Linked DNA regions of Astyanax mexicanus. The protein of the gene in region 2 binds, or shares a complex with, the protein of the main gene of each other region. Links are inferred from orthologs where the notes say so. Each region holds a gene or a part of one and is shown on either strand. Other genes may lie near its edges.

What was found.
Region 1: the proteins of pigt (region 2) and pigu are in contact, whole or in part, in a cryo-EM structure (PDB 8IMX), measured with the Homo sapiens proteins. The link is inferred for Astyanax mexicanus from reciprocal best matches to the Homo sapiens genes PIGT and PIGU. Residues at the interface, in NP_057021.2 of Homo sapiens: Tyr361, Gly362, Leu363, Gln364, Lys365, Arg394, Leu395, Tyr396, Val397, His398, Tyr416, Pro418, Ala419, Gln420, Asp421, Arg422, Gln445, Glu447, Leu450, Leu451, Lys452, Trp453, Thr454, Pro518, Thr519, Pro520, Asp521, Phe522, Ser523, Met524; in NP_536724.1 of Homo sapiens: Glu30, Lys42, Arg43, Val45, Glu46, Ser49, Leu50, Leu53, Val55, Ser59, Gly60, Ala61, Val62, Pro265, Asp266, Leu267, Pro269, Leu273, Trp275, Tyr276, Phe277, Phe278, Ala279, Glu280, Met281, Phe282, Glu283, Phe289, Phe293, Asn296.

The regions. Positions count from the first base shown.
Region 1 is NC_064412.1:58,068,176-58,084,689, reverse strand, and holds the start of pigu (phosphatidylinositol glycan anchor biosynthesis class U protein), read right to left. Parts: upstream 6,848-16,514; 5' UTR 6,825-6,847; coding exon 6,695-6,824; intron 5,544-6,694; coding exon 5,479-5,543; intron 5,377-5,478; coding exon 5,317-5,376; intron 4,386-5,316; coding exon 4,323-4,385; intron 3,945-4,322; coding exon 3,835-3,944; intron 3,262-3,834; coding exon 3,161-3,261; intron 2,895-3,160; coding exon 2,797-2,894; intron 2,460-2,796; coding exon 2,305-2,459; intron 2,114-2,304; coding exon 1,970-2,113; intron 1,424-1,969; coding exon 1,299-1,423; intron 912-1,298; coding exon 769-911; intron 1-768. Other genes in the region: uncharacterized protein si:dkey-6e2.2, read left to right, coding at 7,267-7,309, 8,784-9,068, 9,150-9,225, 9,419-9,731. UniProt on the Homo sapiens protein: Component of the glycosylphosphatidylinositol-anchor (GPI-anchor) transamidase (GPI-T) complex that catalyzes the formation of the linkage between a proprotein and a GPI-anchor and participates in GPI anchored protein biosynthesis.
Region 2 is NC_064420.1:28,984,428-29,000,413, reverse strand, and holds the start of pigt (GPI transamidase component PIG-T), read right to left. Parts: upstream 8,216-15,986; 5' UTR 7,774-8,215; coding exon 7,446-7,773; intron 6,404-7,445; coding exon 6,226-6,403; intron 4,979-6,225; coding exon 4,851-4,978; intron 4,768-4,850; coding exon 4,667-4,767; intron 4,572-4,666; coding exon 4,485-4,571; intron 3,898-4,484; coding exon 3,810-3,897; intron 3,720-3,809; coding exon 3,622-3,719; intron 3,347-3,621; coding exon 3,190-3,346; intron 1,200-3,189; coding exon 999-1,199; intron 178-998; coding exon 12-177; intron 1-11. Other genes in the region: phactr3a (phosphatase and actin regulator 3a), read left to right, coding at 10,816-11,047. UniProt on the Homo sapiens protein: Component of the glycosylphosphatidylinositol-anchor (GPI-anchor) transamidase (GPI-T) complex that catalyzes the formation of the linkage between a proprotein and a GPI-anchor and participates in GPI anchored protein biosynthesis.

The DNA.
Region 1 (16,514 bases), on a different chromosome or scaffold from region 2:
AGCTTCACTACAGAGCTTCACTACAGAGCTTCACTACAGAGCAGCACCTCACCACAGAGCTTCACTACAGCCCAGCACCTCACCACAGACCTTCACTACAGAGCTTCACTACAGCCCAGCACCTCACCACAGAGCTTCACTACAGAGCTTCACTACAGAGCTTCACCACAGAGCTTCACCACAGAGCTTCACTACAGAGCTTCACCACAGAGCTTCACTACAGAGCTTCACTACAGAGCTTCACTACAGCTGTAGACTGATATTCTGTTGTGTGAGGAGCTCTGATGTCTGTGCTTTACTCTCACTCAATAAACCACTTCCTGTTGAGCAGGTAAATGAGGAGGAGAGGAAGTGATGTCAGAGACGAGAGAAGGGAAATAAACACACTGCAGATCTGTGGAGTAACCGGGTCACTCAGCACCGTCAACACGTCTGTTTCTCAAGTATTTTGCATCAGTTTTATCTGCTGAAAACATGTTTAAAATGAAAGTAACACACCTGTTCCCTGTAAAGAATAATCTGTGTCTGATTTGAGTGTAAATGATTATATTTGGGGTGATTATATGTTAAAGATTCTCCTTTATTTCATTTACAGTGTTTTAGCCCTTAAACCCCTGATCCTGAATCAGATACTTTAAAATATCTGTTACCTGCATGTGATATATGATTTTTATATGATATTTATATGATTTTTATATGATATTTAGATGATATTTGTTGGGTTTTCTGTATATTAAAGTGATGAGGGAGAGAGCAGCGAGTAGATACCTGTCCCACGTTGAACAGCAGCGTGATGGCGTAGTAAAAGTTGGAGTTGGCGCTGCCGGCGTAGATCCACAGATGCCAGAGAACAGGAAACAGAGCCGAGCACGCCAACAGCACACACGACACCAGAAATATATTCCTCAAAACTGCAGGAGAAACACAGCTCCAATTAAACACAGACACAAATACAAAATCCACACAGAAAATCTACTGATTTATTTTATATTTATACTTACTAAAGCAATTTCAGCTCATAACTGAGATAATTCCAATAAATAATGACTACATTATCTATATTATCTCCCGATATCCTAATACACAGATCATCTTACAGATAAAATTTATATTTCTCATTCGGTCACATTATTAGATTATTCTACTTAAAAAAAGGTAACAGCAGAATTAAGATACGTCCTCTTACTTCACATCTATTTTGCTTATTTTATTAAATAGAGCAGGTAATGCAGCTCATATCATAAAATAATGCAGATCAATTAGCAAATTTTAGGAATCATCATAGTTTAGCTCCTCACATCTGTAGAGATGACTCCACGCCGGGAGGAAGGCCATGTACAGGGCGATGTCTCCCACAGTGGGGTAGGATTTAAAGATGGAGATGATGGCGATCTGCATGAAGATGAGGAACACCGGGTGCTCCCTGCAGCGCGCACACACACACACACACACACACACACACACACACACACACACACACACACAAACACACACACAAACACACACACACACACACACACACACACACACACACACACACACACACAGATACAGATACAGATCTGAGATCAGATAAACCGCTGTTCATCGTGATCACATATTTACAATCACCAATCAGAAACAGAAAAAGAGTAAAAGTAGTTGAAATATTGAAAATAAGCACCAATTGTTTTTTTTTTTTGACCTTTTGGTTCTTTGTAGTACTGAGACATTTCAGTCGGTGCCTTTAGGTATCAAATTTCATAACCCAGCCCCTATTGATAAACTCTCTAGATATGGGGTATGGAAGTGGGACTTGGGGAATGAAGATGGGCAAAGTTCTAGTTAGAAAATACTGCCTGAAGCTCTGCTGTCAGTCATTAGACATGTTTCCGTAATATCTGATGATACATCCTAATGATTGAATGAGTTTCTACAAAAATCTAAATCCTTATTAATTCTTTAACAGTATTTACTAATACAGACTTACTTCAGTTTGATGGAGAGAGGGATGGTGTAGAAGAAGACGTTGATCTGGAAAACGCAGATGAAGAAGAAACGGAAGTGTTCGAACATCTCAGCAAAAAAATACCAGAACAGCCCGATGTTCGGAGTGAGATCCGGTACTGAGAGACTGTGGAGCGCACACACACACACACACACACACAGTTAAACAATAGAAAGAATAGAACAATGAAATATAGGGACAGGTAAATAAGAGCGCAAAATGAAAAGTGTGTACGCAACACTGGTTCAGTTCAGCGTTCACTACAGATATAAACGTGTTCCGTTCTGCTGTTTTACCAGAATCACAGGAAAACGTACATGAATCCATAAACAGAGGGGATGAAATCCCAGGAGCCGAGCAGAAAGAAGGAGAGGCAGATGATGACCAGCAGACTTCCCACAAACATGAAGCCGTACTGCAGAGTAAACAACCAGAAACTGCTCCTGCAGGGATTCACCGGGATATACAGCCTCTGAGAGAGAGAGAGAGAGAGAGAGAGACAGAGACAGAGAGAGAGAGAGAGACAGAGAGAGACAGAGAGAGAGAGAGAGAGACAGAGAGAGACAGAGAGAGACAAAGAGAGAGAGAGACAGAGAGAGAGAGGCTCTTCACACAAATCATCAACATAAACAATAATGTGAACAATTGCTATTTATTATTATTGTTAATTTTCATCAAGTACAGTGTAAAAGTGGATTGATATTTGCTGTATTATTTCTAAAGGCTGTGTTGAGTTTGAGGAAGTGTGAGCTGATCATCACTGTACTGTAGATCTGGTGCTACAGGTGAGTGATACAGCTGCTGCTCACCTGTAAGAGGAAGAGGAGGGCGGGGGCGAAGAGGGTGAGGGGGTAGACGCTCTGATACGTCGCCAAGGCCAAGAAAATTGCACTCAGCAGCGCACTCCCTAAAACACAGCAAACACTGATCAAACACAAATATCTGTGTTACAGCACAGCTATACACTACCTGCTCCATACAGACTGATCTAAATCTGATATAAATCACCTGTACTCATACAGAATCCAGCACTAACATACTAATATAATATACTACTAATATACTAACTATAGTAATATACTAACTAACTAATATAAAACCCACAGTAAAAAATCCTACAGCTACAGGTGTGGAAATAAACACTGAGAAGATAAGCAGGTGTGTATTACTCACCTTTTATAGTAGAGAGGATGAAGAGAGCTATAACTGCATTATTCAGCCCACAGGTCGACTTCGCCACACAGGACAGAATCGTAAACGGATTCAACAGGTAACTGTAGAGCAGAAAGAGAGATATTACTGAAGAGGACAGAATACAGTACTGATATCTACAACCTGACTCAGGTTTAAAGGAGATCTATCTTTAATCTTAAGTTTCCCCAGTATCCCCAAATACAGCACTTTTAGCTGAATCTCCAAACAGGTTTATAATGTTAGTGATAGGAGCATAGAGTTACCCATATAAGGAAATCACTATTTTTACACCATAAACTCAAACTCAAAGTAGCTCCAAACTTCATTTGTAGAAGTCTGAGGGCTCGTGTTAAAATAAGCCATGTGGGCAGAAATTCGAGCTGATAGACGTTCACATATAGTGCACCTTATATTCCGAAAAATACGGCAGTTATCTAACTAATTCCATGCAGATGCATTTATTTATATCATGCCAGATATTAAACTGCAGGACTTAAATAATCTAATAGCTGATGTTCATGTTGTAGCTGAATGTGTTTAACGCTACTGCATGAAGTTTAGATTTTAAATTATGCTAATTCTACGTCTTATTCTGCGAGTTTATTGGCTGATGAACCCAGAGTTTACAGTGCTTGAGAGAAGTCACAACTCACAACGTCGCCACTTTGAGAGGGATGTAGAACATCTCTTTAGGGGAGCGCATGAGCTCCAGACAGTCGGGTGGGTATCTGTTGGCCTCCAGAGCGTATTTCTGTTTCCTAAACTACAATAAAACACAAGCAGGTTAAATTCACCCCTCAGTAAAGACAGATTACCTTCAATTACCTGTTTAATCAGCAGATACACTTCATTAATAGAACAGATCAGTCTAAATCACAGTAACATGCTGAACACTGAGACAAATTTAATTCATAATTCTAGACCACCTAAAGTATATGAACATCTGTATATTTATTATGCTCGTTAGAGGTGTGAGGAGATGAGGCATGATATTGAGGACTGCAGAGAGAGTTTCTGCAGTACAGAGAGATGAACTCCGCTCTGATCTGTGTGAGGATGTACAGTGAGGACTGATATAAACAGTGTAAATGTAAAACTGAACAGTGTCTCACTGATGAAGACGAGTCCTCCTCTTACTCACCACATTCCTGTTGTAGTTCTGAACAGCCAGATACAGCGCCACCGCCGTGATTCCATCTGCTATCTGCAGAGAGAGAGGATTAACACAGAGCTGTGACTCAGACCAGATCACGCCTGATTCAGATACTCTCTCTTCCTCTTCATCATCTGTCTGTTACAGCCAACACTGCTCTCGCGCTACAGCAGGACTCTCTCTCATGGGAACGCGAGTGTGTTACATACACACACAACATAGAAACACACACGCAAGGTCGCGCTGAAACTCGCTTTACATCAGGGACTCCCAATCAGGAAAACATCAACTTTAATTCTGTTTTCTTCTTCTAATTTTACCAAATTTTCACACAGCAGCACAAACCCAACTTTTACATCAACAATAAACAGAATAGTAAATAAAATAACATTGCTGTTCCCGTAAATGAGCTGCTGGAGCTCCTTCACAGCGTCAACCAGCAGCTCAGTTTTACTCTGCTGAGAAGAGTTTGTTGAACACGTCCAGGTAGCTGCACCGTTACAATAGCAATCCACCAAAGACAGAGCTCACCTGATCTACTCTTAAAGAGAATGATGAAGAAGAGACGCTCTGATTGGTTTATTATTTCACGTTACGCCCAAAATTATAATAAACTCACACCCATGATTAATTAAGAGAATTAGTACAGCCTTTTGTGTGTTTCAACTTGAGCAAGGTGTACTTTTCCCGTTGTTACGATAGCAAAGACACACTGACACCACGCCCTACATCAAGCTGCATGGTACACGGTTGGACTATGGATGACTAAAATTGAGCCCATTGTATTCATACCTATACACACAAGCACAGCTAGTATAATATGGAGGATAGAGGAAAAGAGAAGAGTGTGACAGGGATGGGATTTATTTCACTTTCTTGCAGAAGATTTACAATAAATTGAAAATTATACATATTTACTATAAACACAGACAGGGATATAAAGAGAATGAGACGTAATCAATATAAGACTTCAAATACTCACCATAAACACAATCTCTGCATAGTCCACAACAAAATGAAAGAGGTATATGATGAGGGGCGTCTAAAACAAGGGAGAAACACAGACACACACTAATCTCTAATATCTGCAGTAAGCAGTGATTTAATAAATCAGATCACACGTCTCTGAAACTACAGAACTCACTTCATGAAACACGTCTCCTGAGTACGGCGAGACTCCGAGGTCCAGCAGCGCCAGGCCTTCCACCACTGAGGAACACACACACACACACACACACACACTGTTTTAATACTGGAGATCTGCAGAACTCAGTATTCATATTCTTTTACTGTTTAGATCAAACTGATTGACTAGATTTGCTCCTGACCAGCACAGGGTATAATTCCAGTTGTGTGTAAGGGTTTATATTAGATAAGAGTATAATAAAATGCTGTGACATGATAAGAAGAATAAACTAAAATAGAAAATGATCAAAATAATGTGATGCTGTGATTGTATATATATAAAATAAAAATAAGAGAGCACTTTAAAACGATGAGTTTCTTTGATGTTACCAAATTGAAAACCTCTAGAATATAATCAAGAGGAAGATGCACCAGGAGTAAAGCAGCATAAAGTTATCCAAAAGCAGTGTGTAAGACTGGTGGAGGAGAACATGATGCCAAGGTGCATGAAAAAAACTGTGATTAAAAACCATCAGGATTATTCCACCAAATATGAACTTGTTTTCTTTGCATTATTTGAGGTCTGAAAGCTCTGCATCTTTTTTGTTATTTCAGTCATTTCTCATTTTCTGTAAATAAATGCTCTAAATGAGAATATTTTTATTTGTAATTTGGGAGAAATGTTGTCTGTAGTTTATTGAATAAAACAACAATGTTCATTTTACTCAAACATAAACCTATAAATAGCAAAATCAGAGAAACTGATTCAGAAACGGAAGTGCTCTCTTCATTTTTTACAGAGCTTTATGTATGTATAACATTAGATTAGCTAATTTAAAGCTATAGCTATATATATAAACTGTTGTCATTTTATATGTGTTTAAATATGCACTATTCCTATCACTGAATGATAAAACATTGTTTATTAATTGTAATAACACTAGTAGTTAACTGATAGCAGCTAGTTAGCTTAGCCTCGCTCCTGACAGGAGGTGGGGAACCCAGGTCCAGAAAGTAAAAATCCAGCCCCGGGTTTTGTACCCACTGCCAGGTCGCCTCTGCTGCGGGAGCCGCTCAGGCAGTTGGTATAAAACCCTGGGATGGAGTTTTACTTTCTGGACCTGGGTTCTCCACCTCTACTCCTGATCCATTAGAGCTGCATTAGCAACATTAGCTACATCCACAATATCCCCGCACCGCTGCGGCCCCGAGCCCCGCAGCGCCCCGCAGCCCACCTCTCTTCCACGCGCTGAGCGGCGACACGACCTCCACCCGCTCCGAGATCAGCTCCGCCAGGCTGGAGCGGAATAAAACCGCCCGAACCGTCACCGCCAGAACCAGAACAAGCGTTAAGGGAGCGGCCATCTTCACTGAGGAGACGCGCTAGCCGCCCTCACGGCGCGGGGTGCATTGTGGGAGGTGTAGTTTTTAGAGTAGCGGTTTTGCAAAGGCTCCCTGGTTCGGGTGAACCCGTAGGAAACTACAACTCCTAAAAAAACGCTTTTAAAAATCACCCCCCTTACTTCCCGTGACGACGCCGGAGTCGGCTTCTTTATTCGCCAGCTTCTTTAACCGAACTCCCCGTTCCACCTTAAAAATCCCAGCAGTTCCGTTCAGAACGCGCGCAGCAGTTCTAATGTACCCGCAGCGGTTAGAATGGAAAAGCTGCAGAATTTAAGGTGGACTGGAGAGTTCGATTAAGAAGCTGGCGGACAAGAAGCCAACTTCACCCTCGGCTTTTGTCGCGTGGATTCAACCTCCTAAAAAACATTAATCACCGCGATAAAATAATCATTTAGCGATCTTTATGTCTTCACTGAAATTAAAGCTCAACCGAAACCGATTAGGAGGTGAGCGCGCTTTTTTACACCACCAAAAACTGATGTTAGCCTAGTATTGATTTTAGTCTGCTAGGAGTGATTCTTACCGTAAACAGCGCCGCGTTTTATCCCGAGATAATTAAACAGGAGGATCAGCGGCCTAATTCGTATAAGATACAGAGTATTAAATCATTTTATGGCTCAAATTTTGCATGCATTTTTATTTTAATACTGATTTTAGGCTTTATTTCCAGTTTTTAGTGCAGAATGATAAAAACAGAGCTGCTGTTTTCTATTAGGCCACAGGAGCGCCTGTGTGTTTATATATAAAAACAGACTGATAATAAAAGAGCAGAGGCTGCTGGGAGTCTGTCTGTCTGTTCTGCTGCTAAAATTATGTATTTTTAGTTAGAATAGTAAAGCAGCTAAGCTCTGTTTTAGAGCTAGAGTTGTGTTTTTGTGATTTTGTGTTTTTAATCTGATTAAAGAGCTGATCTGTTACAAATATGCAGTTTTTAAATTTAATATAAGGGCCAGGGATGAGATATGTGTTCCATATTTAAAAAAATGTCCTATATTATTTAAAAAGTGAGGATAAACAGGCGAATCTCATGCATATATCGCATAGTTGTTTATGGTAATATATAATGTTTCTGATTTAATGAGAATATGGGTAAAATGAGATTTTTAGTTAAGCAGGAGGCTTATTCTGCTTAGATATTAAGTTTTAAATCCTTTTAAAATCCTTTTATGGCTCAAATGTTGCATGATGTAGTGCACTTTTTGTATTGGTGTTTCCATGTTTTTTTAGTAAATGCATGTTTTTTCTTTTTTTTAGTTTACTACATAATTTTTTCACACAAACCTTACAATGTATCACAATTTTTGTTGAATGCACCTTTTTTACATTGACTCCCATTGAAAGTGATGAAGGTTTCATTTCTGTCCTGTAAAATTGCTGTATTGTAGATACAAGATAAAACCCACTGCTGAGCAAAAAGAACATTGTTCTGTTACATCTGGTGTAAAAGTAACCTTTCAGAAAAAGAGCATCATACTACAGTAAAACATGGGGGTGGTAGTGTGATGATCTGGAGCTGCTTTGCTGTGTCAGGACCTGGGAGACTTGCTGTGATAAATGGAACCTGAATAAGAATCTCCGTCCATCTGTTCTTGACCTCAAGCTGAAGTGAACTTGGGTTCTGCAGCAGGACAATGACCCAAAACTCTCCAGCAGGTTCAGCTCTGATTGGCTGAGGCAAAACCGAGTGAAGACTTTGGAGTGGCCGAGTTAAAGTCCTGTAATTACTTTCATGTGAATGGGTGTGGCTGATCAGCTGTAGATTGAGTAGGCAGGGTTAAAGTGCAGTTATTGATTAGTGTATTTATGTATTGATTAGTGCATTTATGTATTGATCAGTGTTTTATTTATGTATTGATTAGTGTATTTATGTATTGATTAGTGTATTTATGTATTGATCAGTGTTTTTTCCCGGTCCTGTAGTTGATCTGTACGAAGCTCCGATGAGGCCGCGGAAGCCGAACTGGTCGACGGAGCAGAAGCTGCTGCTGGTGCAGCTGGTGAAGGCCCGGCGGATGGACCTGCTGACCGGCCGGCACTCCTGCCGCGAGATCGCCACCAACCGGCGGTGGGCGTGGGACGAGATCGCCGAGGAGATCTCCACCGCCCACCCGGACGTCCCGCGCACCGGGAAAGAGTGCGAGAGGCACTGGTTCGTGGAGCTCGCTAAAGCTAAAGAGGCTATGCTAACCCATCCGTCACCCACAGGTGAGCTAAGCCCATCCCCCTCCACCTGATTATCTGATTATCCTGTTTATTAATCAGTTTATTATTGATTATTGACTGCAGATCACGTCAGCCCCGTTACCAAGGTCGTGCTGGATATTCTCAAAATACAGAGAAAGGAGGCGGAGCTTAAAGACAGGTAAACTTTCATTATCATATTTACACGCATTTATTTCTTTATCTAAAGAGATTTATTTTTACTTTTTTACGTTTTGTTTCCATTTTAAAACTTTTTTACTTTAAAATATTTTATTTCGTTTTATCATTTCTGTTTAATGAATTTAGTCTGTCTGTCTGTCTGTCTGTCTGTCTGTCTGTCTGTGTGTTTTTAGATTAGAGGAGGAGAGCAGCGTGATCTTCGAGGAGGATCAGGTGGAGGTGAAGTACATCCCCTCTCCGGTTCCTCCAATCATGAACATCGAGCTTCCTGTCAATCATATAAACCACGATATCGTCAGACACGAGATTCCTCCTGTGAGTCCTCCTCGCTCCCCCTCCCCCTCCCCCTCCGCCTCCGCCTCCGGCGAGAAGACGGATCTGGAGATGGCGGTTCTGCGGCGTCAGGAACGGGTTCTCCAGCTACAGGAGGAATATTACTCCCTCAAAATCAAACACCTGAAAGCCCGGATGCTGATGGATCTTTGATGTGAGAGAAGATCCGCGCGGAAACTGACTCTTATTGCCTTAATAAACACTAGAACTCCGGTTTAGAACCTTTAGAACCTTCAGGACTGAAACTGCTGAACCAAAAGACGCCGAGCAGAACCTCCGCTTCCTCCTGAACCTTCAGCCCGAGGACCCGTGGTGAACTCCAGTGTTCAGAGTGTGATATGACACCTTTTCACCAGTAGATGGCAAGGTGGAACTTTATACTCTCAGTAGTGACTCTGTTTGAAGATTAGAGGAGAAATCTGATCAGAGGTGGTTTCAGGTGATCAGACCAGATTTCTCTGATTAAATAGAAATAAAAGTAGCATTTCTGAAGTTAAAACTAGCTCCAGATGTAGATTTATCTCATTAAAACGTTCAGATTCAAAGCTTTAGCTGGGAGGAACGATACGCTGGTGAGTGAAAACATCTTAAATTTAGTGTAAATATCAATATCAATTTCTTTTTATAATTATTTAACTTATTTCTACTAGTTTTAAACGTTTGTATTCAGTGAAATTTATCTTATTCTGTTTTTTTCAGCATTTGTAGCAGCATTGTGTCTTAAACAAGTCAAGAGACTTTTATAGAATAGAATAAGATAATTAATGTAGATATGAGTAGAAATAGGTCATTTAATAACTAGAAATAAGTAAAAGTATCTTCATGTTATTTTATGATATATATGTTGAACATATTGACTGGATTTAATATGATTTCTCACCAAATGAACTCACAGCCCAGTTTTCAGTTCAGCCAATCAGCCATAATATTATAACCACCTGCTGAGTGTTGTTTAGGTTGTTTAAGATCTGTAAGTGATATAAAGTCCAAAAGGATCAAACGCCTCCATCCGGTCGGTACTGAGCAGTGCATTCTGGGAAAACTCCACAGGACCTGTCTGATGTTCTGGAGATGTTCTGACCTCGTCTGCTTTCCATTACATGTTTGTTTCTTGTTAAATTTACGGACTGTCCACTTCCTGCCTGATGCTGCAGATCCAGTATCATATCAGATCATCAGGACTTTTATTATGACAGTATTGTTCTGATTATATTTGATCGACTGTTTAAACAGGTTGTTTCAGCCCTGCTGATTCTTCAGTGCATGTTCACAGTGTTTAAAAATGAAATGAAATGATTTAAATGAATGAACATGACGAATAAACAACATTAGCAGTCAGAAGTTTGGACACATTTGCTTAAGTATCAGGTTTTTATAATAAATGCTTGACAAATATAAACAGTCCATGTTGCAACTGCGTAAGGCGTATCATTATGCCTATTGCTATCTTACACCCCGTCAACAGTCTATTTTCCCTCCTTCCTCCTGTCTGGTTTAAACAGCAGCAGATCTTCTGAATATATCTACACTGATGGGCGTGGTGTTCTGGAAATGAGGTGTGTTCAGGTACATTTCTGGAGTTTTATCTTGTTTATCTTGGTTACATTATGATCAGGAGATTGTTTGTTCGAATCCTGATCGAATTGCCCTCAGCTGCCAGAGCCCTGAGAGAGCACAGTTTTGTTCTCGCTCTCTCTGGGTGGGTACAGTACAGTAGATGGCACTCTCTCTTTCTCCTCATCACTCCTAGGGTGATGTGAATCAGCACAAGGCTGCATCTGTGAGCTGATGTATCAGAACCGAGTCGCTAAACTACTAAACTACTAAAACTGCATTACTGTACTCACTCCTCGATGCTCGACTTCCTCTCAGCATTAAAAACTACAAATGTTCTGAACTGTACCGCTGCAGCTCTGTGACTAAAATTACACCCCGCTCTCAGCTCTCCACCAGCAGCAGAAAAAAGAGAAAGTTCCTCAGAGTTTACAGTGGGAGGCGAGTGTCACAGAGGAAATGTCAGTCTTAATGTGAATGATTTTCTGCAAAGCTCTGGAGGCCGTGCTGAGTGAGATTACACTTAACTCCTACCTCCTGAGGTGGGCTGCTCGCTTCAGGCCTGGCAGGAAGACTCTTTCTGTTTTTAGCTCCAGTTCTGTCCTTAACTAACAGCAAGATCCCCCGATTCCCTTCTGCTGGAGTTCAGTAAACTACAGTATATACAATATATATATACATATATACAGCTCTGGAAACAAATAAGAGAGCACTTAAAATGATGAGTTTCTTTGATTTTACCAAATTGAAAACCTCTGGAATATAATCAAGAGGAAGATGGATGATCACAAACCATCAAACCACCAAACTGAACTGCTTGAATTTTTGCACCAGGAGTAAAGCAGCATAAAGTTATCCAAAAGCAGTGTGTAAGACTGGTGGAGGAGAACATGATGCCAAGATGCATAAAAAAATAAACTGTGATTAAAAACCAACCAGGATTATTCCACCAAATATTGATTATTTCTGAACTCTTAAAACTTTATGAATATGAACTTGTTTTCTTTGCATTATTTGAGGTCTGAAAGCTCTGCATCTTTTTTGTTATTTCAGTCATTTCTCATTTTTTGCAAATAAATACTCAAATACTATAATAAATAACAATATTTTTATTTGGAATTTGGGAGAAATGTCTGTAGTTTATAGAAAATAGAAAAAAATACTTTAAGAAGAAATGAAGATCAGTCAATCCGGAAAATAAGAGTTTTAAGAACTTTGAAAGTATTTAACACAAAACACTATGAAAAACATTATAATGATGAAACTGGCATTCATCAGGGCCAGCTCAGGAAAGGATAGAAGAGCGAGAGTTTCCTCTGTTGTACAGAATAAGTCATCAGAGTTTTCAGCCTCAGAAACCACAAGTTAACAAACAGCTCCTCAGATAAGAGTATCTAAATACTTCACAGTGTATTTTGGTTTGTTTAACACTGTTTTTAAGTTACTACATGATTCATTATGTGTTCCTTCATAATCTGATAGATCATTTTACTATTCATTTATTAATGTAGGATAAAAAATAAAACATTGAATGAGAACTGGTTCAGTATTTTCCTAAGAAATATAAAAACGTCCATCATGCTGTGGAACTGGAGTGATGATGAAGATTGGAGTGGTAAAACTAATGGTCCTGAAGACTGAATGCAATCAAATCAAATCCTCCACACAGCAATGTTTCAGGAGCTAATGATGGCTTTATGAAAGGGAAAGTGTAGAGACTGTTTTTGTGCTAATGGAGATAAGAAACAGCTCTATCCTTCAGAATTCATGATGCTTTTTGATTTCAGTAGAAACTCTGTGAATGATTGCCCTCACAGCAGCCGAGGTCCTGATCTCAGGTAAAGGGGATGGAGGTGATGGTGACCTGAGAGCTCGGGTTCAGTTCTGGTTCAGTTCTGTAGAATATAAAGCTTTATCTGGGCTCATTAATGCAGACGGAGTCTCCAGTAGAAATGAAATGATTTTATTACTCCAGCAGGAGAAGCTTAACGCTTCCCTACAGTCGACTCGGGGAAAGACTTTGATAGTGTCAGAGTTTCGCTCTTTTAGCCTCAGCGATTTCTTAATTCCAAATGAAAACTCTGGAGTCAGGTTGATAAACTGACAGTCTGACAGTCTGAAGCTGTAATGTGATGAACAGAGAATCTGAGTTATTAGAAATGTACTGCAGCAGGAGAACGAGGGGCTGGAGTTAAACCCTCCTCCAGCAGAAGAGCTTCTCCTGCACTGAAACAACGACTGAAGCCTCGATAAACACATCCTGAAGAGAACAGCAAGAATATCAGCTCTAAACTACTAAACACCCGGCCAGGAGCTGAGAAATAGAACAAAACCTACTAATATACAGCTCTGGAAAAAAATAAAAATAAGAGAGCACTTAAAAATGATGAGTTTCTTTGATTTTACCAAATTAAAAACCTCTGGAATATAATCAAGAGGAAGATGGATGATCACAAACCATCAAACCACCAAACTGAACTGCTTGAATTTTTACACCAGGAGTAAAGCAGCATAAAGTTATCCAAAAGCAGTGTGTAAGACTGGTGGAGGAGAACATGATGCCAAGATGCATGAAAATAAAACTGTGATTAAAAAACAGGATTATTCCACCAAATATTGATTATTTCTGAACTCTTAAAACTTTATGAATATGAATCTACTACTTGCTAATTAATTAGCAATCTACTATTCTAACTTAAAAAAATGTGTTGAAAATTTTAGCAATCAAAAAATCTACCAGTTACAGGTTGACATTTTAGTAGTATTATTTACTTAAAATGTTCTGGTCTGTTGTTTTACATTAGATTTGGTTAGTGTTATGCGTTTTTTCTTTCTTTAAACTGATATCATAAAATTTAGAAAGTAAATATAAAAGCATATAACTGCTTCAGCAGCTAAACTATAAATACAGAAGTAATCTTATTAACATTAACAGATATAATAGTTTTAATAATTCCCAGAAATCACCAGGTCGTTTCTGATTGATTAGGAGATTATTTTAGTTTTGTGAATTAATAAAAAGTTAAGTACTGTAAAACAGATATGTTTTAGATATGCGGTGCGTCACTCTCCGTCTCTACAGTAACAGTGAGTTTGTGCGAGAGCGTCAGAGCGCACTCTGGCAGCGAGAGCGAGATTTTGAGGGATAAAAGTGGAAGTTAAGTTAATGAACTCCTGAAATGAACGCGGTGGATCAGCTCCAGTCAAATCAATCAGCTCCTGGCAGAGAAACCGGATCCTCCTTCTTACTGAGAGAAACAAAATCAACACCATCGACTCGCTTTCAGAGTTTACTCACAGTCCCACAGCTTCACAGAACTGTCTCACCTTTGATTGTTAAACATCACTCTAATGAGCAAACGGTACACTGTCTCAAAATCACTGTAGTAGTTTAGATAAAGGTGTGTTTACTGTAGTTGTGAGTTTACAGTTCTGTGAAAAAGTATAAAAAGTATTTACCTCCTACATATTTCTATAGTTTTGGGGTTTTTATCATAATTACTGTCAGGAGTTGCAGGGAGAGGAGGACGTGGAGAGAGGACGCAAAACAATGGAGTGTATTTTATTTATATTTTTTTCTATATATATATATATATAAATATGTGTGTTATAGTGTAATAAAAACAATAATAACTATAATTAAAAATAATCTCTTAAAAAACTTATTAAAACCCTATAATATCTTGAACATGGATGTTAGTGTGTGTGTGTGTTGGGGAGAGTCAGTAGTTGAGTGTGTTTATGTAAATAAGGTATAAAGTATCAGCACTTTTCTTCTATTCTTTCTTCTCCTACTGAGCTCCAAATACACCACGATTTAAACTCCATTTATTCACTCTGTCTCTTTATCTCTCTTCAGTTTCTCCAGGTTTATCTTCTGTTCTCAGATCAGTGTTTATTACAGATAGTTGGGGGTTTAGTCCGGGTGGTGATCCAGCCGCTGACCCCCAGTCTGCAGGATCTACACCTGCTTTAACCGGAGCTCTGGATCAGCAGCTCTGGATCAGCAGCTCTTGATCAGCAGCTCTGGATCAGCAGCTCTGGATCTGCAGCTCCGGATCAGCAGCTCTGGATCAGCAGCTCTGGATCTGCAGCTCTGGATCAGCAGCTCTGGATCAGCAGCTCTGGATCAGCAGCTCTTGATCAGCAGCTCTGGATCAGCAGCTCTGGATCAGCAGCTCTTGATCTGCAGCTCTGGATCAGCAGCTCTTGATCTGCCGCTCTGGATCTGCAGCTCTGGATCTGCAGCTCCGGATCAGCAGCTCTGGATCTGCAGCTCCGGATCAGCAGCTCTGGATCAGCAGCTCTTGATCAGCAGCTCTGGATCAGCAGCTCTGGATCAGCAGCTCTTGATCTGCAGCTCTGGATCAGCAGCTCTTGATCTGCAGCCCTGGATCAGCAGCTCTGGATCAGCAGCTCTTGATCTGCAGCTCTGGATCAGCAGCTCTTGATCTGCAGCTCTGGATCAGCAGCTCTTGATCTGCAGCTCTGGATCAGCAGCTCTTGATCTGCAGCTCCGGATCTGCAGCTCTGGATCAGCAGCTCTTGATCTGCAGCTCTGGATCAGCAGCTCTGGATCAGCAGCTCTGGATCAGCAGCTCTGGATCAGGGTATCAGCAGCTCCTCTCCTTCTTTCTTCAGTGAGAGCAGAAGGGCTGATGGTGCTCATGGCTACAGCTAGTGACACTAGGAGCACTAATAGAGCTCTGCAGTGAGGAGCTCTGAAGCTCTCTGTCACCACCGGCTTTGAACACGAGGCTCCTGAAAATAGCTGTAAACAAGCTGCAGAAAAAACCCACCATCCTCTATAGATACAGAGAGAGTCCCTGATCGACACTTTCACACCAGCTCTCCAATATAATGAGGGCTATTCGTGTGTGTAAGCATGACTGCATGACTACACACAACTATAGGTGTGTGTGTGTGTGTGTGTGTTCTTGAAGGTACAGAAATACAGGATATAGCATAAGTTTAACACCGCCTGACATTCACATCTTTAATATAATTCTATATAAAGGTCTTTAAATGTTTCAGTTTTTGGTTAATTTGAAATCAAATGTTAATATAAATCCATTCCAGCATTTCAGGCATATAACATAAAGCTCTGTAAAAAATGAAGAGAGCACTTCAGTTTCTGAATCCGTTTCTCTGATTTTGCTATTTATAGGTTTATGTTTGAGTAAAATGAACATTGTTGTTTTACTCTATAAACTACAGACAACATTTCTCCCAAATTACAAATAAAAATATTCTCATTTAGAGCATTTATTTACAGAAAATGAGAAATGACTGAAATAACAAAAAAGATGCAGAGCTTTCAGACCTCAAATAATGCAAAGAAAACAAGTTCATATTCATAAAGTTTTAAGAGTTCAGAAATAA
Region 2 (15,986 bases):
CTAAGGCTTACCCGACGTAGAAGCCGTGGTTTGGATCTGGTGTGTATTCTGTCCATTTGAGCAATGCTCGCTCGAACTGCACCGTCACCTCAGTGACAGAATGAGGAGGCAACTGCACAAGCATCTCCAGGAGATGAGGACGCAGGCGGTCTTTTGAAGGCTGATAGTGAATGTAGCCTTGAAATGGAACACAGAAAACAAAGTTTCAATAAAAGGTTTAAGTTAAATTTTTACACTATAGGGCGCACCATCAATAAACTTCTATTTTTCTGGTCTATTTTCAAACACAAGGCGCACCAGATTATAAGGCGCATTATTGTTAAGTCAAACGAGCGCTGGATGTTAATCTAAACAGATTTTTCTCCTGAAAACTGTTCAATTGGGTGAGTAAAGTGCTTGTTTATTTACAGTAAGCTTAGATTTCCAGATTTCCACTAAGGCTAGCCAGACAGCGCTACACTGAGCAACCCGGAGTGTTCCAGTAAGCTAGGGCGATATTAGCTAGCGGTTTGTCCCACATAGCTTGTTTTAACATGGTAAACGGGAAGGCTACAGTCCTGTATACTAGCCTCTAAACGGCAAAAGAGCCAACTAGTGCTTAGCACAATTAGCGGATAATGCTATTGCTAGGAGCAGGCTACAGGCCGATAATACTCTCTAAACGGCAAAAAACCTAGTGCTTAGCGTGTTAACAGCTAATGCTAATATTGCTACAGTCTTAAGTCTTGGTTCTGGAGAATTAACTATAGAAGTAAACTGGCTTTAAAGTGGCTTTACTGCTCATTACAACCTGACTGGTAAAACTCTTTTATAAAGGGCGCTGGATTACAAAGCGCACGGACTATTTGGGGGAAAATTTAAGGATTTTAAGCGTGCCTTATTGTGTGAAAAATACGGTAACTGATTTTTTCTTACGTTCACTACTTGAATAGATGCTTTATAATTTACTTTGACCTAAATACATTATTCTATTTTCAATAATTTGGACTTAAACGTACTTGGCTTGTTCTCACGTGTCTTGCTTGTGACAGTCAGTGTGTGGATGTACAACCGCAAGTACCAGGGCACTGAGTCCAGCAGGAGTACGGGGAATGCTCGGTATGGATGGTTATTGTAGATCAGGGTATGGATTTCCCCTGTCTGAAGTCCAAAGCCTGCCACATAGCGCTCTGCATGGAGCAGAGGTCGCAACATGTCACCTATAACAGAGAACAGTTGTTAATAATAATTTTTTTTTTTTTAATTGTTTGTTTTTACACATAGGAAAAATTCAACCAAGATGAGTTACTATATACTGTGAGAATGTTCTCTCCACATTTTTGTCAAGACATAGCTGTGTAGGTGGCAAAAAAGTAAATACAGGAAGAAGGTCCTGTTTTCTCAACTAATTCATATTCCTGTACAATTGAGTACTTTTGTTCTCAGCTGTAGTAATTACCTGGGTAATAAACCAAAAAAAAAATACATTGCTCAGCTAAACCCTGTGGAGTTCACCAAACAGTAGAATCAGATCAAGGTCAGTTCATGCACTAAAAGTAAAAACAAACCTGAGTCCAACATAACCAATTACTGTATTTTTCGCACAATAAGACGTACCTAAAATTCTTTAATTTTCCCAAAAATCGTCAGTGCGCCTTTTAATCCAGTGCGCCTTATGTATGAATTTTACCAGTCAGGTTGTATAGAGCAGTAAAGCCACTCCACAGAAATACAGTGTTATACAGGAGTTTCAGTTTAGCTCTCCAGCACCGGGGCAGGAGTAGCATTAGCATTAGCCGCTAATCGCTATTTCCCCGTTCAGAGGTGAGCCTGTAGCCTGCTGCTAACCCCCAGCTAGCACTGCTGGAGCAGCATTAGCCGCTAACCACACTGACTCTCTTGCCGTTCAGAGGCGAGTATATCGGACTGTAGTCTGCACGTTTACCGTGTTAAAACAAGCTACATGGGACAAACAGGCAGATAAATTAGATGCTAATCGGCAGCGATTAGCTGCTAATGCTCCACTCTTAGTGCTGGAGAAATACGGAAAATCTAAGGCCACTGTTTAAAAAAAAAAAAAAAAAAACGCTTTACTCACCCAAATAAACAGTTGTCAGGATAGAAATCTGTGTAGATTAACAGCCGTTTGACTTTAAAAGAAAGTATTTTTTATTACAGTTTAGTTTACTTAGCTTAGCTTTACTTAACTTAGTTAGCTACCGCCCCCCCCCCCTCCACCACCACCACCACCACCACCACCTCCTAGCGGCGAGACCTGCTGAATTAGAAGTTCCTTGTAATGTCTCTTAAAATGGCCTTACAATCCAGATATATATAATAATATAATAATATATAATAATATAGACCAGAAACTAGACGTTCATTCATAGTGCGCCTTGTCCACCTTATAGTGCCAAAGATACAATAATTTAAAAAGTGCAGGTGTAAAAACACCCTTAATTTTTCATGTTTGGCTGCTTTGACACCAAACTGCTTCAAACTAACGGCAATATGAAACAGGGCACCTGAGTGAACCTATACTAACAGAACCTAGATGTACTTGCATACTAAATAGATAAAGGGGATCATCAACATTATGAAGTGTTGACCTTAAATGCTTTTAAATTGATCCGAAGCAGTACATACTAAATACTGAAGACAAAAATGTATAGCGAATATAATAATTAATGAGAAAAAATATATTTTCTGGACTTTAAAACAGTATTTTTAAGATTTGGTCTTTTAACAACCAATGCCAAAATCAGAAGGCTGTGGAATACATTTTAGGAGAAAATCTTCAAATCTACATCAAATTTCAGCGCAGGACAAGATTAAGTTAGCATTCCATGAAGCCTTAGTTAATACTACAGCCAGTTTGTTTGTTTTTTTGTGTTTTACTTAAAGATACATGGTCAGATTCATAAAAAGTAGCTCATATTAGTTTGTTATGACACTTTTATAGTGCTTTTTGCCTTTTCATTAGGCACATCTAGTACCTAGTACCTGAAACTAAGTCCACTAGAGTTGAATAGTGTAGGTACCATGTGGTGGACAAAAATGTGTAGTGAATATAATAAGTGAGCAAAATCTATTTTCTGGACTTTAAAACAGTATTTTTATGATCTGGTCTTTTAACAACCAATGCCAAAAACTGTGAGGAAAGCTGTGGGATTCATTTTAGGAGAAAATCCTCCTCATATCTGTGCTTACCACTTTCCCCTTTCCAGCGCAGGACAAGATTGAGTGAGCGCAGCTGGCCAAAAGTCTCTTTTTTGGTCAGATCATATACAGAGTAAGTCCTGCGATCACCAAGAACCACAGCTGTGCTGAGGAGAGGGGTGACTGGGCTCAAGTCAAATAGCTCCCCCTGTTGGGCAAAAAAGCATAATGTCAACTGATGTCAAAGCAAACATGAACATCCTGTAGACCAGGGGTGTCCAACTGTGTTCCTGAAGTACAGTTACTTGTACATTTCAGCCTCGAATCTAAATTTTACTCCAACACATCATCTTTAACTCAGCTTGTGTTACAATAGAAAAAACATCCTCCAGTAACAGGACTGAACATCCCTGCTCTACCACATATTGAAACAGCACATTCTTCAGCTCTTCTGAACTTTTCCCAAAGGGCTTCATACTTTACCTCCGGGTTGTCTGTGACGTCTACGTAAACCTTGCTTGAAGATGCTAAAGGGCAAGCCTCCGTTAAAGTGCGAGAGAACATCTTGAAAAGGGACCACTCTGTAAAAAAAAGAAAATATGTTTAAACAGACAAACTGTAATACAGAGATTGTGTACATTTTATTGCATAGTTTATTAAGTGTCACTAACCTTTTTTGCCCTGGCCAGAGGTGTAGATGTCAAACACTACATTGAGAGTCTGTCTTAGTTCCCATGCTGTGCTTGTACACTGCCAATCCTAATGACGCATCAAGAGAATAAAATAATATCAGAAAATGTTCCATAACTATTTCAATAAAAAATGTTTATATTAAAGGTTTTAGAATGTTCTGTCTTGTAAAGGTAACATTTTAGAGATGTTTTATTTAGTTATTTTGTGGTTAGCAATGAAATATTACAGTAAATACATCAGCAAACTCATTCTGCTTGAAGCATTCCATGAAGCCTTAGTTATTACTACAGCCAGTTTGTTTCTTTGTGCGTTTTACTTAAAGATGCACGTTATGACAGTTTTATAGTGCTTTTTGTATTTTCATTAGGCACATATGGTACATTAGAGTTGAATAGTGTAGGTACCATGTGGTGGGAAAAAAAAAAGCTATGAAGAAGCAAGAATTTAAATGTCGTACACAAATGATACATTATTGTGTGCAAAACTTGACTTAAGACTTCAATTTTGGTTACAGTTATTCAAAGTACAAACCTAAAAAAAACTTCTTATACACAAAGCTGTTACAATTTTTGATTCTTTAAAGAGAGTGTGAAATCGTTGTTTTTGTTCCTTCTCCACCATGTGACCAATACGGGAAACTCATAGGACCTCACCTTACAAACAGGTCTGATATGCACAGCCTGAGAGTGAAAACTGCTATGGAAGAGCTTCTCAGACTTCAGCAGCACTGCTAGACCAGCCTAGAAAGATCCACAGAGCATTAGCTTGATTATCTTGACAAACTCAGATCAATAGACCTTGTGCATCAGAGTAGACCAAATGCAATGTTCAGCACCTTGGAGCCACAGGGGAGGAGCTTCTTCCAAGGAGTCAAATTCTCAGTACAGACGATTTCGCGCGGCAATGTGGCATAACGCAGGAAACGATGATCAGTAACTGCATGAGGGAGAACACAAAGTCTGTGAAATTGATATAGCAAATAAGTGAAGCAATAAAATAGCTAAAAGACTCAATAATACCATTTCCAAGTCCCAGGGGTTTAAAGGAAGCACTTGGCTGCACTGTGTTTGTTGAATCGATGAAATTTAGAGATGCGCAGAAGATGCCTGACAGAACGTTGACAAGCTCCTTCCAGTTTCCATCCACACTGTAATACAAACAGAGGATCAATTCAGTTTGTTTGTTTAGTGACTTAAGGAATTTTCACTGCTATAGTAGGTTTCTGAATCTGCTAATGAGTTTGCATACTTGAAACTCATTGCACACACGCCAAAATGTGTCAACAAACCACATGAGAACATTCTCTTTATTTATTGCTCCGATCTGTCTGGAGTTTGAGTAAATACAGGAAAAAGATCCTGTGAATATTTATAGTGCATGTTTCTGTGAAGTTTCACATGGAGCAGGAGGAGTAGGGTTATTTACGCACAGCTGTAATAATTATCTGGATAATATACCAGATTAAACTGAATATGGGGCTAATTTATATAAAAAGAGTATATATTCAGAGTATGCCCCATAGGTGTGTAAGATCAAGGTCAGATCACATTTTCACCACAAACAAACTATTGCAGTGTACATTTGTACTGTACACTGTACAGAACCGTCTCCTCTTAAGGGTTTCATTTGAGTGTGATTACTGTATTCACACCTGCACAAACAATTTGGATCATGTGTAAAAAGGGTAAAAACTAATTTACTGGAAATAGAGCAGGGGTGAAAATGCTCCTATGTTCTAAAAACAATGCAATTTAAAAAAAAAAATGTATGCTGTATCCCAAAGTGATTTACTAAAAGCCTGCAATTACTGTAGTAATCATCTTTTTTGAGCGTTATAAGTAAACATATTTTTTAAAGTCTTATCAACAGTTGAGCTTTTCAATGAAAAAAAAAACAATAAATTAATAAAAAGGACAGAAAAATAAAAGTAGTTTGTCTGCTTACATAGATTCCCTGAGATATTTATAAACAATAAATAAATGTTTAGATTTTAAAGGAAGATGTTGAGATTATTCATAAATAATTTAAATGTAAGTAAAATACATTAAGTTGTAGCTACTAGTGCTTGAAGTGGTATCAGTACATACCAGCAAATGGTCATTGATTTAAATATGACAGAGTTCTCAAAACACTCACCGTTGCATCTAATTTAAATTGAATCATAAAGTCTCCTAAACAACAAGGGCCAATCATTTTCCTGGTTAGGCTGTGAGCAAGACCATAGCATTGACCCTGCTCTGTTCCATTCATATTTCAACCAGTGATTGGTCTCCTAATTTGTTTCTTTAGGAAGGGTGACTTGATGGGGAGATCTGTGCAAATCCAGTAGCCAGAAGTAGCTGAAAATCACAGCAATATGACTATTTAGCTGTATACAGGCACACTGTTACTTACTCTTCCACAGTGTTGTGGAACCACACCCAGAGCTCAGCCCCAGGAGGAGAGGGGATGAAGGGCTGCCCCCACTGCATTGTCCTCCAGTAGCCCTGGGTGAAGGAGATATGCAGCTCCCGCACAGAAAACTTGGACAGCACTTGGCCTAGAGACTTTGGAAAGAGTCGGTAATGGGACACTGTGGGTGAAGGAAAGAACACAAGACGAAACAACCATTAGTCTTTAGAGCATAAATGGAAAGACATATGGAATTATGTAGTAAACAAAAAAGTGTTTGGTCTCCACAATCCCCTGATCTAAACCAAATCCCCTGATCTGGAGCTGCACAGCCTGAACGAAAAGCAGCAACTATTGTTCAGCACCTACAGCAACTCCTTCAAGACACTGAGAAAACTATTTCAGGTGACTCTACCTCATGAAGCCACTGAGATTAAAATACCAAGTGTGCAGATCTGTCCTCAAAGCTACATGTGGTTCTTAGAAGAATCTCTTTTTCATATTATGTTTTATTAACACTTATTTAAAAAAAATAATTATTAAGTATTACATTTGCAATAAAAACAGACAATACATTAAATAAGACGAAGTGTGTCCTAACTTTTTTGTACTATAGGTTATATTCACTAAAATACATAACTACAGCACAGACTGGGCTGGATCCCAATAACACAATGTCTTCTCTTCTGCTAACTTTCTGAGCTATACAGTACTGTGCAAGCAGACATGTGTACTGGAACATATTGTGGACAAATTATATACTAGATGGTAAATCTAAACACTAGATTAAGAGTTTTTGGGATGTTAGTTAACCTAGGTTGGCTATTTAGCTAGTGTGTTTAAACAGGCCGTGGACTTCTCAGATGCTAATAAACCACGTAGAGTTAACGTTAGCTAACACTTAGCTTCTTTAAACTGGATGCCCACTTTTTTTTAGCTAATTAGTGTTTTCCCTGCTCCCAACACATCTAATCTACAATTTTAGCTCATTAACAGCCCATTCTGAAATTACCCTGGGTCTATTAAAGCAGAAAATGAACTGACATATGCCCACAGGACCCGGCTAGACAAACACTAAGCTAACTAAACCAAGCAAAGGAAGGTAGGCTCATTCATTCAGATATTGGGACACAGCCCAAACAGCTAGCTAGCCTGCAGCTAGGCAGGAAGCAGCTCGCTAAATCAAATTAAAGGCGCACAGCTTAGCTATAACATTATACAACCTTTTTTCCCGTGGTGCAGGAAGTCTGTATCCCACTGTGTTCTGAACTGGAAGCTGGCGTATATATCCCCGGAGCGCAGAGGTCTGAGCACCAGCTCCTCGTCGCACTGGTCCGGCGGGCTGACCGCTCCTCCAGCCGCCGCTTCAGCCGGCTCATCTGCCTCACTGACCGGAGCGGCCACGGGGCCGCCGGAGCTCACCGCTGCAGACTCGCTCTGCCCGGGTTCAGAACTGCTGACGGGTCCCGTGACATCGTTCGGTTTTTCCACACTATCACAATTACACGACAATATTAAAGCACTCAATATTAAAACACACAGCGCTGCCATTTTCACCACTACAGTAACCACCCTCACTCCTCAGCTCCGCCTCCTAACGACAACCTCCTCAATGACCAATGGGAGCGCAGTATCTGTACGAGTACCACCATCAACACTGCGCACGCTTTGCGCAGAGCAATGACATTTAACCCTTTCAGACATGCACAGAGAGTTTGGCCCAATCCCATATCAGACCTTGGCCCTGGGAAGAGGAAAGTTAAGGGAAATTAAAGGGAAAGAGAAGAGGAAGGGGTGGCTTTTTTTAGACTGAGATTTTTCAGGCTACGTTCACATTACCGTTCGTCCACACCGAACGCGATGCGAGCGACAAAGCAGCCGGAAGTCATTCATTTTCAATGAGAGCGAGCGACACTGGGCGACAAGCAGCGACGCGATGCGAAGCGGGCGGTTTGAGCGACGCGAGAGAGTTGACTGTCACTCCCCGATCTGTACCCCCTGCCCGATTTGTGCCGCGCATGCGCACGCATGCGCACTGCAAACTGAGCGAGATGAGCAGGGGCACAGATCGGGTAGGTAATGCCAAGGTGTACTTCCGCCCACACTGTCGCAAACAGCTCGTACACTGTGGTGTCAAAATTAAGGATTTTAAGTTTTACAGAGCTGTGCAGAAGACATACAGTGCCCTAAAGTTAACTAACCAGCAGTTGGGATGCTGAACCTTAGCAGTCCACTGCTATATATCTGTATCAGGTGCCTGAAGGGCTGAATTTAACTTTTCCCTAAGTAACTTTGTCCCAAGGGAAAGGATAACAATCAAAGAGAAATGGGATTGGGCCTAAGTTTCAAAATGTAAATTTTCCTTGCTTGGGTGCCGCACACAGGAGTGTAATGAAGTACAAATACTTTGTTACCTTGCTTAAGTAGATAGTGTGGTTATCTATACTTTAATTACTAATACTAACTATTTTTCAGGCAACTTTTTACTTATACTACTTACATTTTCACATAATTATCTGAACTTTCTTCTTCTTACATTTTAAAAATAGCCTTGTTACTCCTATTTCATTTCAGCTTGTGTTTGCATGAGAAGTTTGCAGCTTGTGGTTGCATGAGAAGTATAAACATATACCATTCCGACTCCCTACTGGTTTATACACAATTCATCCCCTCTGCAAATGTCACGCCTATACTCCAGCATAAACATAGCAGATGTATATAATCTAGTATGAAGATGATTCGTGCCTCAAGAAAATGGAGCGAAATGTCCCAATTATGCTTCTTTAATATATTTACACTGTACTAAAATGCATTAATTTTCAATGGGCATATGTGCAGCTGAAACAGGGAGCCTAGTGCATCTTCATTTTTTCAACATTAACCTTTCAACATAAAATTATAGTCATTATGTATTTTAGAAAAATGTGTTTTGGAGGAGGGTAATGCACTGTAGACTCCTCTGGTGCAGCATAAGCCTTTGATGTCCTTAATGGCATTTTCCCCTTACATTACTTTTACTTTTATTCTTTAAATTGTTTTGAAACCAGTACTTTTACACTACTTGAGTAAAACGCTTGAACTGACCTTTCAACTTCTACTTAACATTTTTAAACCTTGTATCTATACTTCTACCTGAGTAATGAATGTGTATACTTTTGACACTTTTGGGTGTGTGTGCTCAAAACATATCACCAAATAAGCACATGTAATGTCTACTCTGCTTTTTTTCCCCCAGAGTGTTCGTCTGGTTTTGGACCATAACCAGAGATATCAGAGTCGTACTCATTACCTTTGTGCCTTCTACATGCTTCCTGCCAATGCAACTAACATCACTGGGTGCAGGTAAAATGTTTTCATAAGAATTGTTTGCTGATTTTATGAGGTTTTATAACAGAGATAAGAGATAGCAAGAACATTGATGCAGACATAAAATATTTATTTATTTGTTAAAATGACATATATTATACATATAGATATATTACATAGACATAGATTACATTCAAACTATATAAATAGATAAACTATGCAACTGATTTTTTTATGGTTAACAGTGTGAGCACAAAACTTATGTGACTAAAACCATTTATTAAGGCCAGTGTATAAAAATTACTATGGTTGTGGACCTTAGGGGGGGAATATGGAAAATGTTATCTTTAAATGGGCACTAAACCCCATGATTTTTGCTGACTGCACCCTTAGCTCAAATGTAAAAAATGCTTAAAAGAAAAAAAAATTAAAGATGTTATTTGGGTGGGGCACTGGGTGATGTATGGGTTTAGGGGTGGGGCAGAAGGGAGAGCTGATTCAGCTGAGGGGGCGGTATTATTGACTGATTGCATATCAAAACACATTTTTCTCGCCTATAGCACAATTTAACCTGTGAGGGCGTTGCAGAAATGGAAATGGTCGCAATAAAAACATTTTTTTTAAAGGTTAAGAAATGTTTATACATTTTTAAGCAGGGCTAGTATGTATTATTACTTCAGAGGAACACATTTCAGCTGTTAATGAAAAAAAAATGGTTTAGGGTTTAGTGCCTCTTTAAGACGTGCAAAACATGCCAAGCCAGTCTTACGAGCTCATATACCTTATCACCGTAAACTTAAAAATCACGCAGTCACATCTTCACACAAATCAGTGAGATTGTATTTGTATTTGAACATCTTTAAGCAGCATCACTAACCGCAGCCTGTCTGAGTAACACTAATCAGCCCTCTGGCTGCAGTGTCACCGTGCGGTCGCTGGGGGCGCTGTAGCGCTGTCTGAACTGAGCGCATATCTTTTGAATGGATGCTGTTGTATTGAAACGCCCCGTATATAAAAACACACGGCTCATGAAAAAAATCACACACACAGCCATTCCTTTATACATCCAGCAAATCAGAGTCCGTCAGTGCGGTCAAACGAGGCATGCACACACACTCACACACACACACACAGTCACAATACCTACACACACAATCACACACACAAACCCTCCCTCCCTCCATCCCTCATCCTCCCCTCCACAGGCGCGCGCATCCTCCACACAAGCAGACGAGCGCACACGCGCGCACACGCACACTGGGCTTCTAAATCAGGCATGCTCGCTGGATGCTCTTAGCGGCTGTCAGACCGAATCACGTCCGTCCCTCAGTCGGCTGTGCGCTGACCTTGACTGCCTCCCGGGCCAGCATCATCGTCTTCATCATTCCTGCGCTCCTCGGCTTCTTCATACCCATGGCTTGCTCGGACGAAGCGGAGAAATGCCTCCTGCACAGGGGCAGGTCTCAAAGTGACCCCAACATCCTCATCGAGTCCGGCGGTGATTCAGCGCGCAGCTCAGGTAAGCAAGCTAGTGATGAAACCTGAACCTGCTCTCCTCCTCCTTCTCCTCCCAGAACGCGCGTCTCTCTAAACCGGCGCTAAACGGCATTCACTTAAAGGATCCGAGCTCAACACGAGCAGCTAAATAGATTCAATTACATCCCCATCTCATCTCCCCGGATCTTTACTATCTCTCTCCCTCTATCACTCACTCCTTCACTGCTGCTGCTGCTGCTGCTCCACACCGGGCTCTCCACACAGTCTCCACAGGCTGCAGCTTTGTGTGAGAGAACCAACCCAGCAACCCTGCAGCAGCAGCAGCACAACCCACATGTGCTAGCGAGCTCATATAACCAACCATGGGGGTCTCTCTCTCTCTGAATGTCACTGTCTCGGAGTCTGACTGAGCAGACAGGAGGCTGGCTGCTTTGTGTTGACTGTGTTTTCTCAGTGGAGAGAAGGAGCTGAGGGCTCAGGGCTCAGCCTCTGTCTCCACCTTCTTCCACCACCAGGGCTGTAGCAAATTCATATTAAGTCCTTAATGAACGTTCTTGCACGATATAACGATATTATATCACAGACTGGCACAGAAACGTGTTGAATAATTATATAATGCTACGTGGATTTAATGGTGGGGTGTCTGTTGCCATTTGCGCACGCGCACTGGCTTCCACCGTGAGCATGGGGATTGGCGCCCCTTGAATGGAGCAGCAAGCGACTCACGCTAAAGAGCTCGCTTTGTGGTGTGTGGAAGCTGAGGGTGGCAAGAAAAACCGTTTATCACGCTTTTTACCTCCCTAAAGGCCTGTCACGATAACTAATTTTAATGGACGATATATTGTCCAAGCTTTAAAAATGATATTTGTAATAATATAAGGATGTTATTGTCATTTTAAGGCCATTCTGGGACACTGCTATAATTGTAATGCAATAGCAGAATAATGCAATTTGCACCGTTTTAAAGAGCACATTTTTGCACAGTCTGAAATATTAATATTGTGTACAATAGGTTGATAATAGTTTTTTAGACAGTATGTCAGTTTCTGTTTTCCATGAGATTGACAATACAGTAAAATCGTTGTTCAGTTTGACAGTACTACTGCAGGATATCTGGTAGATATTGACTGGTTAATCAATATCCAGACACAAACATTATATATATATATATATATATATATATATATATATATATATATATATATATATATATATATATATATATATATTATTATTATTATTATTTTATTTATTTATTTATTTTTTCCAGGGGGTAAATACAAAGCACTTCAAATACCTGCCATTTAACTCACGTTTAATTACTGATATGCTCGATATGCTTTAAAAGCATATTGTCGATACCGTAATAAAAAAACGTGTTGAATTTGTGAATTTGACAGAATATTGTCATATTGCCCATCTCTTTATGGTACCCAGGAAAACTAGCACAGGTAGGAATACATTTCTTAGTATGCAAAAAAACCCAAAACATCCAGTTTGTAGGCTACCTGTAAGTTTTGAAGTTCATACGAGTGCTCAGTGAGTGAAAAATCTATGTTTTTGCAGGTTACTAATATGACAAAATCATACAATCCTGATTACCCTACCGTATGCGGCCCAAAGGCAGACCAACAGACCTGAAACAAACAGCAGCTAGTTAAATAATAGACTACAGTTCATTCAATAATTTAATACTATATTAAATACATATCACTGATAAACATGCAGTAAAGGTCCTCAAAGCAAACAACAGACTCCACCAATTAGTAGCATCCTATTAAAAACAGCTAGTTAAAAGTACCACCAATATGCAACCGCAAAATCAAAGTTGGTCTACAATAAAGAATAGCAATGTTTGACTGATTTGCAAAATCTAAATGTAAACAGTAGTATGTCAGCTGGCAGCAGCGTCCAAGAATGTCATTTAGATTATTTTCAAAGAAGTGCTAATTGTCAATACTAATAATATGTTTTTGCATTCCCAAATGTCGCAACTGTCCAAGCACTGGCCGTAGTATCATGAGGTTGCCAGTTTAGTTCCTATTGATGCAGCTAAAATAAATGGCCAGGATTTCCAGGCAGCACAGGGGTTAGGATGACCCTCTCTATCCCCAAATATTTTTTTTTGTGGACATATAACATAAGGAAGAGGGACGGCACTAGAAACTTCTCTTCCTCTCCTCTTCTTTTATTTTCTGTGAGGAAAATTTGCACCCATCCATGTGCCTGCATGCTTCCACGTTTGCTCTCAATCACTACACAACAGAGGGATCTAATTTCACCAACTCAGTAAACTCAGAAACCTGCTTTGGAATTGAGTGTTATATTTACACCCTCGAAACACATTCTCTAAACTCTGTGGTTCTGTAGTTTTAACTCATGCCCAAGCATCCTTGAACCATTGCCATGCTTGGAAAATTAAAATCCTGACTGTGACCTCCTAGAGCTCTATGGTGAGCAAGTAAGGCCGTCCTGTTCTGGCATGGTGGACTATCAGCAGGTGTCCAGCACAAAGAGACAATTGTAATGGATCCTAGTTTGTTAGTCCGAGTATGTAGGCTGTCACCGCCTCATTCCCTCTAGTCGTGATAAGCATTGGTTATTACAGACCAATGGGATGTGGCCTAATTTTTTATCATTATCATTTCACATGCTTTGCATGTATAGCAACGCTGAGTGCTGACTTTTTTGTGTGTTGTGTTTTTCAGCTCAGTTATAACTCTAAACCAGTGAACAAGGTCACTCTAGCAAATGGCTTTGTTCAGCACTTTGGCGAGTTGTACTGTGTGGATGCCCACCCACCACCACTCTCACTAGTGAGAAGCCCCCTGTGTCACACACTCATGGACAAAAAATACAATGCACTGGGAAATAACTGTTAGAATCAAACGAAACATTCTGTGTGTGATTCTGAATAATGTTGACTTATGCAAGTGATTGGATAAGTTAATCACACCAGCAGTTGGGGGAGTATGTTAATCCACGGCAAAGGCAAAATTGAAACGCTCACTATGAGGCCTTCCTAGTTGAACTTAATTGTCGTTGTATTCCAACCAGAACCTGAATAAGGTTTCTGTCTATAGCAGTTCAGGTTTCTTGTTCTTGACACCACCTAAAACAAAGACAGGCAAAATGGTGGGAAATTCATAAAAAAACATTGTGGTTCTCTCAATCCAATAATGCACCCCCTCTGAAAGTCACTCAGCATGTCTAGCAGGCAACAATCTCTCACCAAGAGGTACGCTAACCAAAAGTAGCCCCTGAGAGCCTTTTTATAGACACTTTGTATATGTTGGCAAAACCCAGTGTCTAATCAGACCACACCTGTAATTATTTATGTATCTGCCTGAGACAAAACTGCATTCATAGTATTCCAGGAACCTGGAATGCGTTGTGTTTTTGTCAGTGAGTGCACATGACACTTTGTGTCTAATTTTAGGCCTTTTTCACTAAGAGCTGATATTCCGAGTGACGTCTGATCACTGGCTGATATACTGTGCAGTGCGAGGCTGTTTAGTCTGCACCCAGTGACAGGTTAATGTGCTCTGGGAAATGATTCATTTGATGATGCATGGTTGCATAGAAAAAGTCCTTATTATAGAGCAGATGAGAAAAAACACAGAGGCTGGGAGAAATGAAAGAGAGAAAGGGAGAAATTGAGAGAAAGAGAGTAATGGAGTGAGTCTTCTGAGGTTTGCTAATGACTCTTGCTTCCCATTGACTCGTGCCAGTAGAAGGTACTGAGGGTAATGCATCAGCTTCTCCCTCAGCTAAGTGATAATTAATTAAAAGCCTGAATGCCACACAGCCAAACTCTCTCATGCGCTTCATGTCTGCAAAAGACTTGCTGCATCATTGTGGAGGAGAACAAGTGTGTGTATGTGTGAGTGTTTTCCTTGCTCACTGTTACTCGTCAGCCGAGTGGAAATCCCTCAGATGTTGTGTTTTTATAGTAATTTCCATTCAGAAAGCATCGCATCTTAAGGTGAGTTGAGCTCATCTCAGAAAGCTCATACTAGCATTCTAATTTTGTCCATATGATTTTTTTCCTTTGGTTTCAAGCACAGGTGTGCAAGAAAGACCTTTCACTGAATATTTTTCTCAGTAAAGCAATATTATTAAAATTTTAAGACAAATTCATGGCACTAATGTAATGATAATACCGTGTAACTGCATTATAATTCAATTTTTTTAAAAGAATATTTGGACAGTTCAACTACATTATAAACAATGTAAATAAAACTGTTTTTAAATGTATTTTTACATAATACATTATTCACATTCCTAATCTTTTTTGAAAAGCCCACCTCCGTTCTCCCGCAGCTTTCTGAGATCCAGTTATTTTGTTCTTTTTGCCCAGCACTCTTTACTACAGCCGTTTAGGGGCATATTTTGCCCCGATAAATCACCCTTTACACCGTTATTCAGGCTCAAAGTAGCTCCACACCTCCGTGGTAGAATCTGGAGAGCTCTGACATTTAAAACAAGGCATTAAGAACTTTAAAAGTGCACACAAATCTTATTTAAAAAACCCTGTTTTGTTATATATATATATATATATATATATATATATATATATATATATATATATATATATATATATATTGTTAATAGTTTTGGTACCTTAAGGAGCATCTTTCTCTCAGATAAAGTTAATAATAGGTTTTTGTTCAGTTCTTTTCAGTCAGTTCAGTTTGTTAAGGCTCTAATTGTTCTATTATTTTGTACATGACCATGTTCCTGTATTTTATTATTATTTATTTTATGTTGCACATTGCTGTTTTAATAGTGCACACTGCTGGTACCAAAAAAAGCCACTAGATGGCATTAAATATATATCTTAATTAAATGATTTCAATTTGACCATTAGTGCCTAATGTGGTGTATTACAGATCACTTGTATCACTTTGCATCACCTAATCAAGCCCACCTTTTGAAATAAGATATTGTAAATTTGATTA